2 linked regions of the Macaca fascicularis genome follow. Each later gene encodes a partner of the first gene's protein in a complex. Links are inferred from orthologs where the notes say so. Each region holds a gene or a part of one and is shown on either strand. Other genes may lie near its edges.

What was found.
Region 2: the proteins of XIRP2 (region 1) and NEBL are in contact, whole or in part, in a crystal structure (PDB 4F14), measured with the Homo sapiens proteins. The link is inferred for Macaca fascicularis from reciprocal best matches to the Homo sapiens genes XIRP2 and NEBL. Residues at the interface, in NP_689594.4 of Homo sapiens: Pro2420, Pro2421, Pro2422, Thr2423, Leu2424, Pro2425, Lys2426, Pro2427; in NP_006384.1 of Homo sapiens: Tyr963, Asp964, Tyr965, Asp969, Asp971, Glu972, Ile987, Asp988, Asp989, Gly990, Trp991, Met1004, Pro1006, Asn1008, Tyr1009.

What each region holds. Positions count from the first base shown.
Region 1 is NC_088386.1:62,196,996-62,202,993, reverse strand, and holds the start of XIRP2 (xin actin-binding repeat-containing protein 2), read right to left. Parts: upstream 4,043-5,998; 5' UTR 3,972-4,042; intron 1,026-3,971; 5' UTR 958-1,025; coding exon 937-957; intron 1-936.
Region 2 is NC_088383.1:21,724,075-21,730,154, reverse strand, and holds the start of NEBL (nebulette), read left to right. Parts: upstream 1-2,579; 5' UTR 2,580-2,683; coding exon 2,684-2,764; intron 2,765-2,862; coding exon 2,863-2,934; intron 2,935-3,639; exon of another isoform or gene 3,640-3,843; intron 3,844-6,080. UniProt on the Homo sapiens protein: Binds to actin and plays an important role in the assembly of the Z-disk. May functionally link sarcomeric actin to the desmin intermediate filaments in the heart muscle sarcomeres.

The sequences.
Region 1 (5,998 bases):
TCGGCGGCCCAGCACTCTGAGCGCAGGCGGGCACTGACGGCCAGGGCAGTGAGGGGCTTAGCACCTGGGCCAGCAGCTGCAGAGGGTGCGCCGCGTCCCCCAGCAGTGCCAGCCCGGCCCGCAGGGTGCTCGAATTCTCCCCAGGCCTCAGCTGCCTCCCCGTGGGGCAGGCCTCGGGACCTGCCCCCTCCCCACCTCCGTGGGCTCCTGCGGAGCCTGAGCCTCCCTGACGAGCACCGCCCCCTGCGCCACTGCCTGGTCCCATTGACCGCCCAAGGTCTGACGAGTACGGGCGCACAACGTGGAACTGGTGGGCAGCTCCGCCTGCAGTACCAGTGTGGGATCCACTACGTGAAGCCAGGTGGGCTCCTGGGTCTAGTGGGGACTTGGAGAACTTTTATGTCTAGCTGGAGGATTGTAGATGCACCAAACAGCACTCTGTGTCTAGCTCAGGATTTGTAAATGCACCAATTGGTGCTCTGTATCTAGCTAACCTAGTGGGCACTTGGAGAACTTCTCTGTCTAGCACTCTGTGTCTAACTAAAGAATTGTAAATGCACCAATCAGCACTCTGTGTCTAGTTCAGGGATTGTAAATGCACCAATCAACACTCTGTCAAAATGGACCAATCAGCAGGATGTGGGTGGGGCCAGATAGGGGAGTAAAAGCAGGCTGCCTGAGCCAGCCAGGGGCAACCTGCTTGAATCCCCTTCCATACTGTGGAAGCTCTGTTCTTTTTCTTTACGATAAATCTTGCTGCTGTTCTTTGGGTCTATGCTGCCTTTATGAGCTGTAACACTCACCCGGAAAATCTGCAGCTTCACTCCTGAAGCCAGCGAGACCATGAACCCACCAGAAGGAAGAAACTCCGAACACGTCCGAATGTCAGAAGGAACAAACTCCAGAAACACCATCTGTAAGAACTGTAACACTCACCCCGAGGGTCCGCGGGGTCATTCTTGAAGTCAGTGAGACCAAGAACCTGCCAATTCCAGACACAAATGCTCTTATTGCGGCTTTCCATCCTAGAATTAGCAAATAACATAAGACAATTATGAGTACAATTAGCAGCATTGTTTTCTAGGTAAAAAGTGAGCTGTAGTGTTACTTGACACTTCAGTTTGATGAGTGCTGTTACTAAGAACACTACTGGGGGTATGTTAACTTCTTCCAGCCAAGCAGTTAACTTACTGGAAGCTGGAAAGTGTGTTTGCTTAAGTAACAGGGCTGAAAAAGACAGATTTAAGAGATGAGCTTAATAGAGTGTAGCAGGTATAGGTAGTAGACAAAATGAGAGAATTAAAAACGAATAATTTATTTGGCTTAGCCTTTGGCGTCGGCATGTCTGGGGTCTGTGTTGTTTGTGGAAGCCTCATTGTTGAGGCTGTGGGTCCTGTAGGGTTTTTCTTAGGCTGGCTTGAGTTTTTCCTTCTTTCCTTCCTTTGATGAGAACATGGTCTCCAGGCTGGTGCTAGAAATTCTAGGGCTGGTGCGTGTGCTAAGAGATTTTTACAATCTTTAAAGAGCAGGTTAGTGCTTTAAGAAAAACTTGTGCTTTATTTTAATGTTTACAGAAAAACTGGATGATACCTTTTTAACTTTTGCCAGTATGTTTACACATAAAATTTTCATAATTAACATTTTAAAACCAAAAAGTATACATTTCCTGCATAAATTTCTTCATGACTTTCACAGTCTTCAACATGCCTTAACTTTCTGGCTGTGTTTTATAAGCTTCATTACTAAAGGTACATTCCTATATTTATAACTTGCTTAATATTTCCTTTCCCTTATTCCTAGTTTTTCCTTAGTTTTTCTTTTTGCGTCTCTTTCTGATCTGTTTTCTAGTCTCTTACTCATTCTTTCCCTTTATTTCTTTCTAGGTATGGACACAAGCATACTTTCTTCCTCACGTTAATAATTCACTTGGACCATGCCATATATTGTTCACATCTTTCCATACAACTGCAGGTTTTATGCCTTGAGAGGTTTTAGTAAAGTGCTTTTCTAGAGCTGATTAAAATTTGTCATCTAAATTTAAAAAAACAAGGGTAAATAAGGCTTGTGCCAATAGTGTTGCAGGGTCTTTACCTATATTCCTTTTTCCTGTTTTTTTGAGCATATTTTTAAGGGTGAACTGTGCTCCTTCTGCTATTGCCTGTCCTTGGGGTTATATGGGATGCCTGTGGAATGTTTGATATTCCACGTGTGACAAAATTGTTGAAATTGTGAGCTGGTACAAGCTGGACTATTGTCAGTCTTTATTTTTGTGGTCTGTCCTATAAATGCAAAACTTAAAAGATGTTTAATGACATATTGAGTAGACTTTCCAGGCAAAGCATGTGCATTAATTAAATGAGTGTTGGTATCAATGCACATATCTTAGTTTTCCAAATTCAGGGGTGCAATATCTGTTTGCCATAACTGATTGGGTTCCAATCCTCCAGGGTATACTTGCTGAAGGAGGGGATGTGCCTGTGAGTTGGCAATCTGGGCATTGTAGATAATTTATTTAGCTAGCCTCTGGGTAAATTGAAATTGTTTAGACACATTTTTCCAATTTTGGTGGAAAAACAGATGTGATTGGGTGAGTTGGTCAAGTAGTGATACCATAACTTGAAGTTCTGCTTGATCATTGCTATAAGCCAATGTGCCAGGCAGTGAGCTGTGGGCTCAAATGTGTGTAATAAAAATAGGATGTGTACATTGGTCTAGCAATTACTGAAGCTGGGAAAAAAGAGCACACAGAGTGGGCTCCAGAGTGAACTTAACTGAGGCTGTAAAAGTTCTTTAATAAACAGTAACCTCAGCTGAGTGCTAGTAAATTTAGATTGAGTGACTGGATTATATGGTCTCTACCAGACCCATCAGTAAACAGTGTTAAAGCATTAGGTATGGGGGATTGCAATGCCACTTTGAATTGCCTCTTAAATGAATCCTGATGGTATCAGGGTCATAACTTATCAATTGACTGCATTAAGATGGCAAGCTGAAATAAGTAACATGAATTTTGAAAAGAAAATTTGAAAGCATTTCTAGAAGCAGAGACTCAAATATACTTTAACCATGTGCTTAAAGCCACAGGCAGAATAGCTTAAATCTCGCAATCGAGTTTTCAGGCTGACTATATTTAGGGACTCCAATGTAGCAAACAGTCTTGAAAACAGTGACTCACTAGCTGGGGAACTCAATTCAGCACTCTTTTAGCAAGTACAAATCAAAGACTATCTGTAATCAGTGGGTTAAGACAGTCATTCATGCATATGTTTTCACTACACTTACATACAACTTTTCTTCACTTTCTGAGAAGGGCACATTTTTACCTTCTAATTTAACATACATCATTCAATTAGGTTTAAAGTTCTCCTTTAAAGGGCAATGTGTGGTTTTGCATGCTAGCTTTTAATTGCTTTTTAACTAATTCATGGGCCCTCTGTAATCTCTCCCTTCAGAGGTTACTGTTTTACTTAAATTGGATTTGGAGAGCTAAGTCAGGGGTAGGAGAGAGATAACAGAAGCCATTATTAGAAAAGAGGTTTTACAACTTCTTACGTTTTACTTAAATCTTAGAGAATTATAATCAAGGAGGTCGTTAGTAAACAAGGAGCACACGAGATTTTGCTGTGGGCCACTTGCAGAGCTAGAAAGCTGAGCAGATGGGTCCCGGGGCGGGGGCTGTTACACTTGTGCGACTTCTTTCGCTTGTGCCGCCCCCTCCCGCTACCTCAGGGCAGCTGTTGCCGGCTGGGCGGACTCCGGCGCTGCGCGCCTCCCGGCCCTCTGCAGTAGGCTAACTTCAACGCGCTGGGCCTGGCTCCTCACTGCTACTGCCGCCGTGCAGGCGAGTTCCCCGGACCATTTGCCAGCTCAGTGTTTGCGAGCTTCCTTGCTGCTGAGCCTTTCCTTCTGTCTACTGCCTGCTTGGCCGCAGGGCTCCAGCCTCTAATGCTTTTTATCATATCTTTATGTACCTGATTTCTTTGCTGATCTTGCATTACTGGGCAGGTTAAGAGCTCTCCTTCTAGTGCTGCCTGCTGAAAACAGGAAGTGATTGCTGTAGCGTATCCTCTTTTTTCTTATCTATTGGAGGCCGCGGCTCAGGTAAAACCTCCGTTTCCTCTTTGTTATGTTGGCCCTGTGATATAAGGGCCCAGAGAAGAGGAGGTGATAAGACAGGCGACAGTTTTCTCCTACTTCCTCTTTTTAGGCTCTTCTGTGTGTAACTGAGCCACAGCCGCTCTAGTTAAAGCCCATAACGTTAAAGCTGTTCCTGGGACCTGTCGCCTTGGCGCCTAATGCTACAATTTCTCCCCACTTGATCCCAAAGTTCTACATCTAGCATTCCTTCTGGATACCATGGGCTTTGGGATTTAACAGTTTGCATTACGGCAGTTTGTTTAGCATGGATGATTAGGTCCTTTAATTGAGCCTGCAAAACTGAGGCTCCTCTAGCCTTAGACAACTGTTTTAATACTGTTATGTACTGTTTCTGCTGTGCTAACTGTTGTCCTATGATGAAAACTCAGCTTGACCTAACTTCCCCCAGAACTTGGTAACCTCGAGTGGGCACTAATGACTTTACTGATTACTCACTGACTTCACCGCGTTCCTTTCCTCATCTTCGTTTTCCGGGGGTCCGTCGCGTTTCCTGCACGCTTCCTTCGCAGCTTTCCTCACCAGGGTGGTCCTCACACTTCCTTTGCAGCCTGCCTCAAGAGGGGCTCCAACTGCGGCGAGTCTGTTTCTGCAGACCCCTGACTGGCCTCACAGAGGGCACCAGTTGAGGTATTGCTCCTCACGAGAGGGCATTAGCTGCAGGGTTCTGCCCTCAGACCCTGACCTAAACGACGGATAAATAAAACGTACACTGATACAGATATTCCGCTTTGTCAGTCCTGCCGAGTGCCCATCCACCTGTCCACCAAGAGAAGTTTGTCACTATAGCCGGCCCTGAGCAGCTCGCACTGCAGGCATTTATTTAGCATACAATTAACAACAGAAGCTCTGAGTCAAAACACTTGAGGGTAATTAACATGGTTAAGAGAGTAGTTTTACGAATGATTAAAGCTCAGGTACCGCGGTTTAAAGTAAATACCACTGGGGGCAATATCCGGGTCGGCCTCCCCTCAACTCTGGGAGGGCTATACTGCTGAAAGGTCAGTTAATGGAGGTAGGGTAAACAGAACTGCGGAAGCCGCTATTGTCCCTAGTATTTACCCTATGACCTAATGCTCTAAGGGAAGAACTGGCTGCCTTCAGTCTGTTCAATTATTACAAGCTCTGTAACCTTTTGGCCTTTCAAAAAGTTTGTGACTATTCCCTATAAGTTTCCGTAATATTTTCCTTTAGTGTTTCTGCCACCATCCTGAGTGAATCTCACCAGGTTTCTCTGTTGGACAGGCAAATTATCCCTGAATCTCTGCAATTTCAGTTTAATAGGAATCTCACCTGTTACAGAGAGAGGTAGGTAAGGACACTCACCTGTACTTTACTCCTACTTCCAGTCCTACCCTCAACACTAGCTGAACTCCAGCAACACTACTGCCCCATTGTGCTGGAGATAAGCGCTTTTAATGGATTTTACTAAAGGCAGTTGAATCTAATCAGACTGAACAACTAATCAAGTATCATCATAGCCTTATTAGTTAAAATACAAAGAATATACCATTTATTACAAACTTTCACAAGAAATCAAATTCTAAAATTTCGTTTTATTTTAGGCATCCTCTGTAAAAGCTAAGGAAAAAAAACAGATGTAAATTAGGAACTTAACTCCCTTCCTCCGATGATTGCTTCTAAAATCTTTTCATTTTAACTAACAGTCTGTGACTTGACCTACATGCCTTCTTTTAAAACATCTCATAGCATTCTAACGTGTCAAAGATCCCCTGGAAACTTGCATTACAAGCTCCTCATCATCAGCTTCATATACATTATTCCAAACTTTGTCTCGTTTTCCTAAAGACAGAGTGTGTAAAAAACATTATAGGTTTTTGGG
Region 2 (6,080 bases), on another chromosome or scaffold:
ATGTTGTCTCTAGCTTGCCAAGCAATCCATTAAAGACTTCATGACGGCAAGTCTTGAGTGATGAGTGTTTTATTTCCTACTCTATCTTAGTATGAGGATGTTTTATTCACCATCATATCTCTAATACCAAGCACAGTGCCTGGCATAAAAACATTTATTTGTTGAACAAATGAACACAGGTCTTTAGTTAGGTTCTGATCCTAGTACTTCATAGTTTGTAAATGAGACAGATAATTTTTCATAGCCTTCATTTTGTCATCTGTGAAAGAGAGGGCTTTAGGTATATTGATTTCTTAAGGATCCCTTTGCTTGAAATTCTGATTCTAGAATCTCAAATGGAAAATTTGTGTTCACATTGCACATGGTGTTTGGTTTTTGTTTTCAAAACTTTGAGCATTAAATCTCAACAGCTTATTTTCTTGCAGCACAGTGAAGAGTCCTTAAGAACGTATTACATGATGGGAAATGAGAAATAACTGCAGTGCAAGCCTGATGAATGTAATTCACCTTGGGGAATAGGTGTCACCCTGAGCAACACCAGTACTATCTCCTCAAATATGAGCCAAAAGGTGTGTCTCAGGCAGTTTCGACGAGAGTTTCTCCCTACACTTCTAGAAATTTGCAAGACAAGTTTACAGAAATTACTCCTCTTTATTTCCCAATAAAGATAATGTAATAGATCTATAGAATATTAGAATAATCTTCTGGCCAGTGGAGGACTTGAGGGAAATAATTAGAATCCACACATTCTTTCCTTTTATGGAACAAATAAAATGTACAAGCAATGTCCTTGTGGAATCCACTGTACTGGGCCAGCATGATATGGCTGTAATCTTAGAGTTGTGGTTTCCAAATTTAGCATGCTTGGGACAATTTCTTTTTGGTGCTTTGCTGGTGAACAGGATATGTGATACCATTAATTTAGCCTTTATCAAAAACTAGTTCAAGACCAATAGCTCCTTCTAGAACACAACATTTTAGCAGAATAGAGCAATATTTCCCTCAGTAATAGGTCATATTTCACAGAGGAGTGTTAGTTTTCTGGGGTAGTGGGTATAATTAAAAAAAAGTGATAGGTAGATAGAAAGATAGGTAGGTAGGTAGATTAGATTAAATTGGATTAGATTTGATGAGATAGATAGGTTTTGTGTTCAGGGGAAAAGGAGGTTAAGCAAGCCTAAGTAGGTTTTTTGGTTGAAGGTCTTCTCAGAACTTCTAATGTGTCAGTATGCCTTGTAGATCTCTAAGTGGCAGGGGCAGAGATTGGGGTACAGATTTCCCAAACGTATTTGTTTAAGAAACCTGCTCTTCTCCCCCAGAATCTTTTGTGGAACTTTTGCCTCATGAAACACAATTTCAGAAATAATTTGTACACGATGACTGTGTAGAATGTTTTTCTTGTTAGGGTTTTCAGTTTAGGTAAGGCCAAGGCATTTTTTTAATAACACATTGAAAACTAGATATGATATCAAGAGAAAAAGAGTTATGCTTGGCTACTTAGAATGATGTATTATTTTTAATAAATTTGTATTTTCTGTCATCAGTATTACTATTCCTTGTAGAGTATTTTTTTATGCCCGACGCTAATATGCTATGACTTGGTAAAATTAATTTCCCCTAGGATTTAAATAACCAGATTAATAAATCGTGAGTTGTAGAGAGTCTTGGAATTGCCTGAATTGACATTAAAATATTTGTTTTGAAAAATGTATTTTTAACCTTGGTTTTACATAACCAAGGACACATACCACATTATAAATATTGTGATGGTTTATTTTTCCAAACTTTTCTGAATGTGGGGTACCCATTGAGTAATAATGCACATCACCAATGAATCTGTAAAAATTGACATGATGAGTAGAATTGCAGAATTCAAAGATGATGATGATTATTTTTGAAACAGTGATGTTTCTAGAATTGTTAAATTATATATCAACATGTGTTAACTGCAACTTCTCATGTTTAATGATGTTTACAATTAATACAATACCATACTCGCCAGTATAAGACTAACAGTCATCATTAACTCAGAATAGATTCTTTGAAGTGGTTCAAAGGGCTTTTCATAATAAATAACTAGCCTCTAATCAGCTAATATAAAGTGGGTATTTTTTAGGATGTGAGAAGTACTGGTGTGTCTGATAAAACATATAATTTGGGTTAACAAAATGAGCTTGAATGATCCAGATTCTCTACCCCAAGTCAGAAAGAAGTCCGACATTCCAGTGAAAGCTTTATTTAGACAGAGATGAGGAGTCTTTGAGATAACAGGCTTTGGACTGTGCTATCTTGAGTGTTAGAGCTGAGTAGTTTTTGTGGAATCTCTAAGTCCTTTTTACACTCTTTTATGAATGAATAGAATTAGTAAAAGATAAATAAATTTTCTCTTTTGGATTTCTTAACCAGTGGAAAAAATGTTGACTTTAAAAGTTCATAAAATCAAGTTTTGCCCAAGAATATGTTATGTCCACTTGTGAGGCCAGCCTGGTAGACCTCTGGGATCCTGTTCTGTTCACTCACACACCACTGAGATAAGGAGTGAAGTGTGGGCTAAATAGGGCTGAGGCTTGGGCAAGGGCGTTTCGAACAGAGCACCAGAGACATCAGCATCTCAAGGGCGCTGTGGTACGAAAAAGGACGCCACATGAGTAAATTTTAAAAATAACTATTTTAAAGGGTAAAAATGAGGGTCCCTGTATTTGAGGATGTAAAAGATGAAACTGAAGAAGAAACAATAGGGGAAGAAGAAAATGAAGAAGACCGGGTGAGTAAGAAAACACATACTCATGACCAGCATTTGTTCCTCTAAATTGATGATGAGAAAAATGTTCTCTTTCTTTCTTTTTTTTTTTTTTCATATAGGTCTTCTATAAGCCTGTTATTGAAGACTTAAGCATGGAATTGGCCAGAAAATGCACGCAACTCATTAGTGATGTAAGTGGCTGGAGTACTTTCTGTCTTATTTTGCATTGCACCTGTGGTATTATTATGTTATAGAGGCATAGAGCTGTGGGGGAAACCCTGAAATCACCTTTTAAAACACAGTCACTTTCCAGATCATGGAACAAAGTCCTGAAATTCTAAGTGATTTCGCCAAGGTCACCTATACAGAGAATTCCTGCTAGAGCAAGTCTCCTCATTCTTAATCCAGAATCCTGTCCCTTATGAGGTTTGCTGTCACTCTGGCATGAAATCATAAGGCATTGAATTGCAGTATTTATTCCATTTGAGAACTCCCAAAGATTTTAAAATGAATGTAATGATGTAATTTGTCTTGGGAGGCCCTCTATCTAAATGAGTAGTCATTTTTTAACATTTTGGGACATTCTGAAGAATCTAATGAATGGACTTGTCTTTCAGAACAGGAAAATGCATATATATATATATATATATATCTATGCATATAACTTCTATTTACAATTCAGGATTTGTGGATTACCAAGCTGCTTGCTAAGAACCCTGATATTAGAGAAGGATATTAGTGCAAGGGGCATTTTTGTTGTGACATTTTTTAGTAACTGGGATTGGTCAATATTACACTTCAAGGGAATCCCAGAATATATTGAATGATTGAACGTATAGTTTTATGTTAAATATGTAAGCTAGAATTCAAGAAGTACAAGGAAAAATGTTGCTCACCAGGAATGAGAATTTAGATGATCCTCATTAACAGTTCTAAGAGGATTGCTGGTCCAGAGGAAGGGTGACTCCTGTAGAGTGAATATGTGCCTGTGTCTTCATTTAGAGAGATGAGCACAATACTGGTTGTTTCTGTTGTTGATAATGAGCAAGATGATCAGAATGTTTTGCACGTTTGTTTTCAAAGGGAAGTCAGTCCTGGGCAGGAGGACAATGGGCTGGCACGTCCTCCAAAGTCAATCTGCCTGGGTTGACTCCACAATAACCTTGGAAAGGTTATGTAACCTGGCTGGGCTCCATCCCTCAGCTGTAACATTTATAATAAGATTAAATAATGGTAATGCATCTAAAATGCTGAATAAACTATCTGGAACATTGTGAGTACTCCACAAATGTTAGCTGTTATTAACTACTCTGTCTGTTACTTACTTTTACATCCATCCAATCACAGTTTAGATATGACTGGCTCTTTCTGACAAACCAGAAGACAAGCATAAAGGATGGTGGTGGAAATCATACCCTTTCCCATATACTTGACATGTGATGTAATTACCCTTTAAATTAAGTATTTCTTTGTGCTATTACTTAATAGTCATTAGCTACTGTATGTGAAAGTTCTTTGTAAATTGCAATAATAATAAATGACGACAACAATAACAATATTGGCAACAGTTAAGATTTAGTGACTACTATGTGCAGGGATTGCAGCTTGTGAGGTAGGCACTATGCTGTTTCTCATTTTTGAAGTGAAGAGATAGAGGCACAGAGAGGTTCAGTACCTTGCCTGGGTCACACAGTTAAGCAGCGGCAGTAATATTTGAACACAAAGGCCTCCCTCTTACACTGCCAAGTTATCTCTCACTGTAGGTTTCCATGAAATGTCGTTCTTTGCCTTATTATTATTACGCTACTATTAGTAGTAGTAATGCTACCTACTAAAACTCTAAGTTCCTAACCTCTTCCAGCTTTGATATATTTTTATTGAAGTGCAATTATAACTGAGCTAACTTGTGTTACATAAACCATCAGGACTAAAGTAGTAACTGTAGTTAGTAGGTGATTTTGTTGGAGTTGTTTTGGGTAAGATTGTTTATCAGTGACTTTAAAACCAATGTGTTGTGGGGGTGGTGCCTTTATCATTTTGCAAAAGCTTAAAGCCATACATTTCACACCCACGTAGGTAAAATTAAACAGATAGGCATACTTTCTGTTTATTAGAGATATTTGTTGCATGGTAGAATGTACTACTTAAATATTTAGGACATTATTATTGTGGCTTAATTTATATCTGTATTCACATTCACATTTTGCTTCCAAATAGAATTCTATACTTGCTGAGATACTTATTTAATTTTTAGATTTTTTCCTTTTCTTTTCCCCTGCCCTGCCCTGCCCTGCCCTGTCCTTCCCTGCCCTGCCCTTCCCTTCCCTTCCCTTCCTTTTATGACAGGGTCTCACTCTATTGCCTAGGCTGGAGTTCCGTGGTGTGACCACAGCTCACTGCAGTCTCAATCTCTTGGCTCAAGTGATTCTCCAGCCTTAGCCTTCCAAGTAACTAGAACTACAAGTGTGTGCTACCGTGCCTGGCTAATTTTCGTTTTTTTTTTTTTTTTGTAGAGGTGGAGTCTCACTATGTTGCCCAGGCTGGTCTCAAACTCTTGGCTTCAAGTGATTCTCCTGCCTCGCTCTCCCAGAGCACTGGGATTACAGGTGTGAACCAGCAGGCTGGCCCTGCTTCGTTTTTATAGATGAGAGGGATAGTTTCATGGACTTCTCTTCATGGTGTGGCCTAATTATTACTCTTTGAACTTTTTCCAGCTTTCCTATGTCCTTAATAACCAAGATGTAATAATCAGAACTGTGCAGAGCGGTACAGATGTGGACAGTCTAGATCATGTGTAGAGTAGGATAATGTTTTGCTTAGCTTCTAGCACCCTTTTTGATGCTATGAAGAGTTTCTTAGACTTGGGAGCTGCAGAAAGCTGTTAGATTAGCTTGATGATCTGTAGACCATCAGAGCCATTTAATTCCTAATTTCTGACCTGTAGCCCCTAGCTTAGGACCCATCATCTTTAAATAATAGTTTGAATTATTTTAACCATACGAGGGCTAGATCTAATCTGTAGTTTTCTGCCCTCTTGCCTGGCCCTTTGAGAACTTCTGAAGTTCATCTCAGTTTGCCGTTTCCCTTACCGAGACAGCTTGGAGTCAGTTGACCTGTAGACACTACTGTATCATCCCCTTGTCAGACAATTTGTAGAAATGTTAAGCAAGCTTGGCCTAGAGATCAGCCCTAGGAGGCCTGCACTGCTTCGAATTCTCCATAGAGAGAAATGTCAGTTTTTCAGGTCAAGTGGCTTCACTTCAGGAATCAGCATAAGGCATTTTTCTTTCTTTCTGTTTCTCCCCCATCCTAGTTTCTGCTTTGCACCTGCTCTACC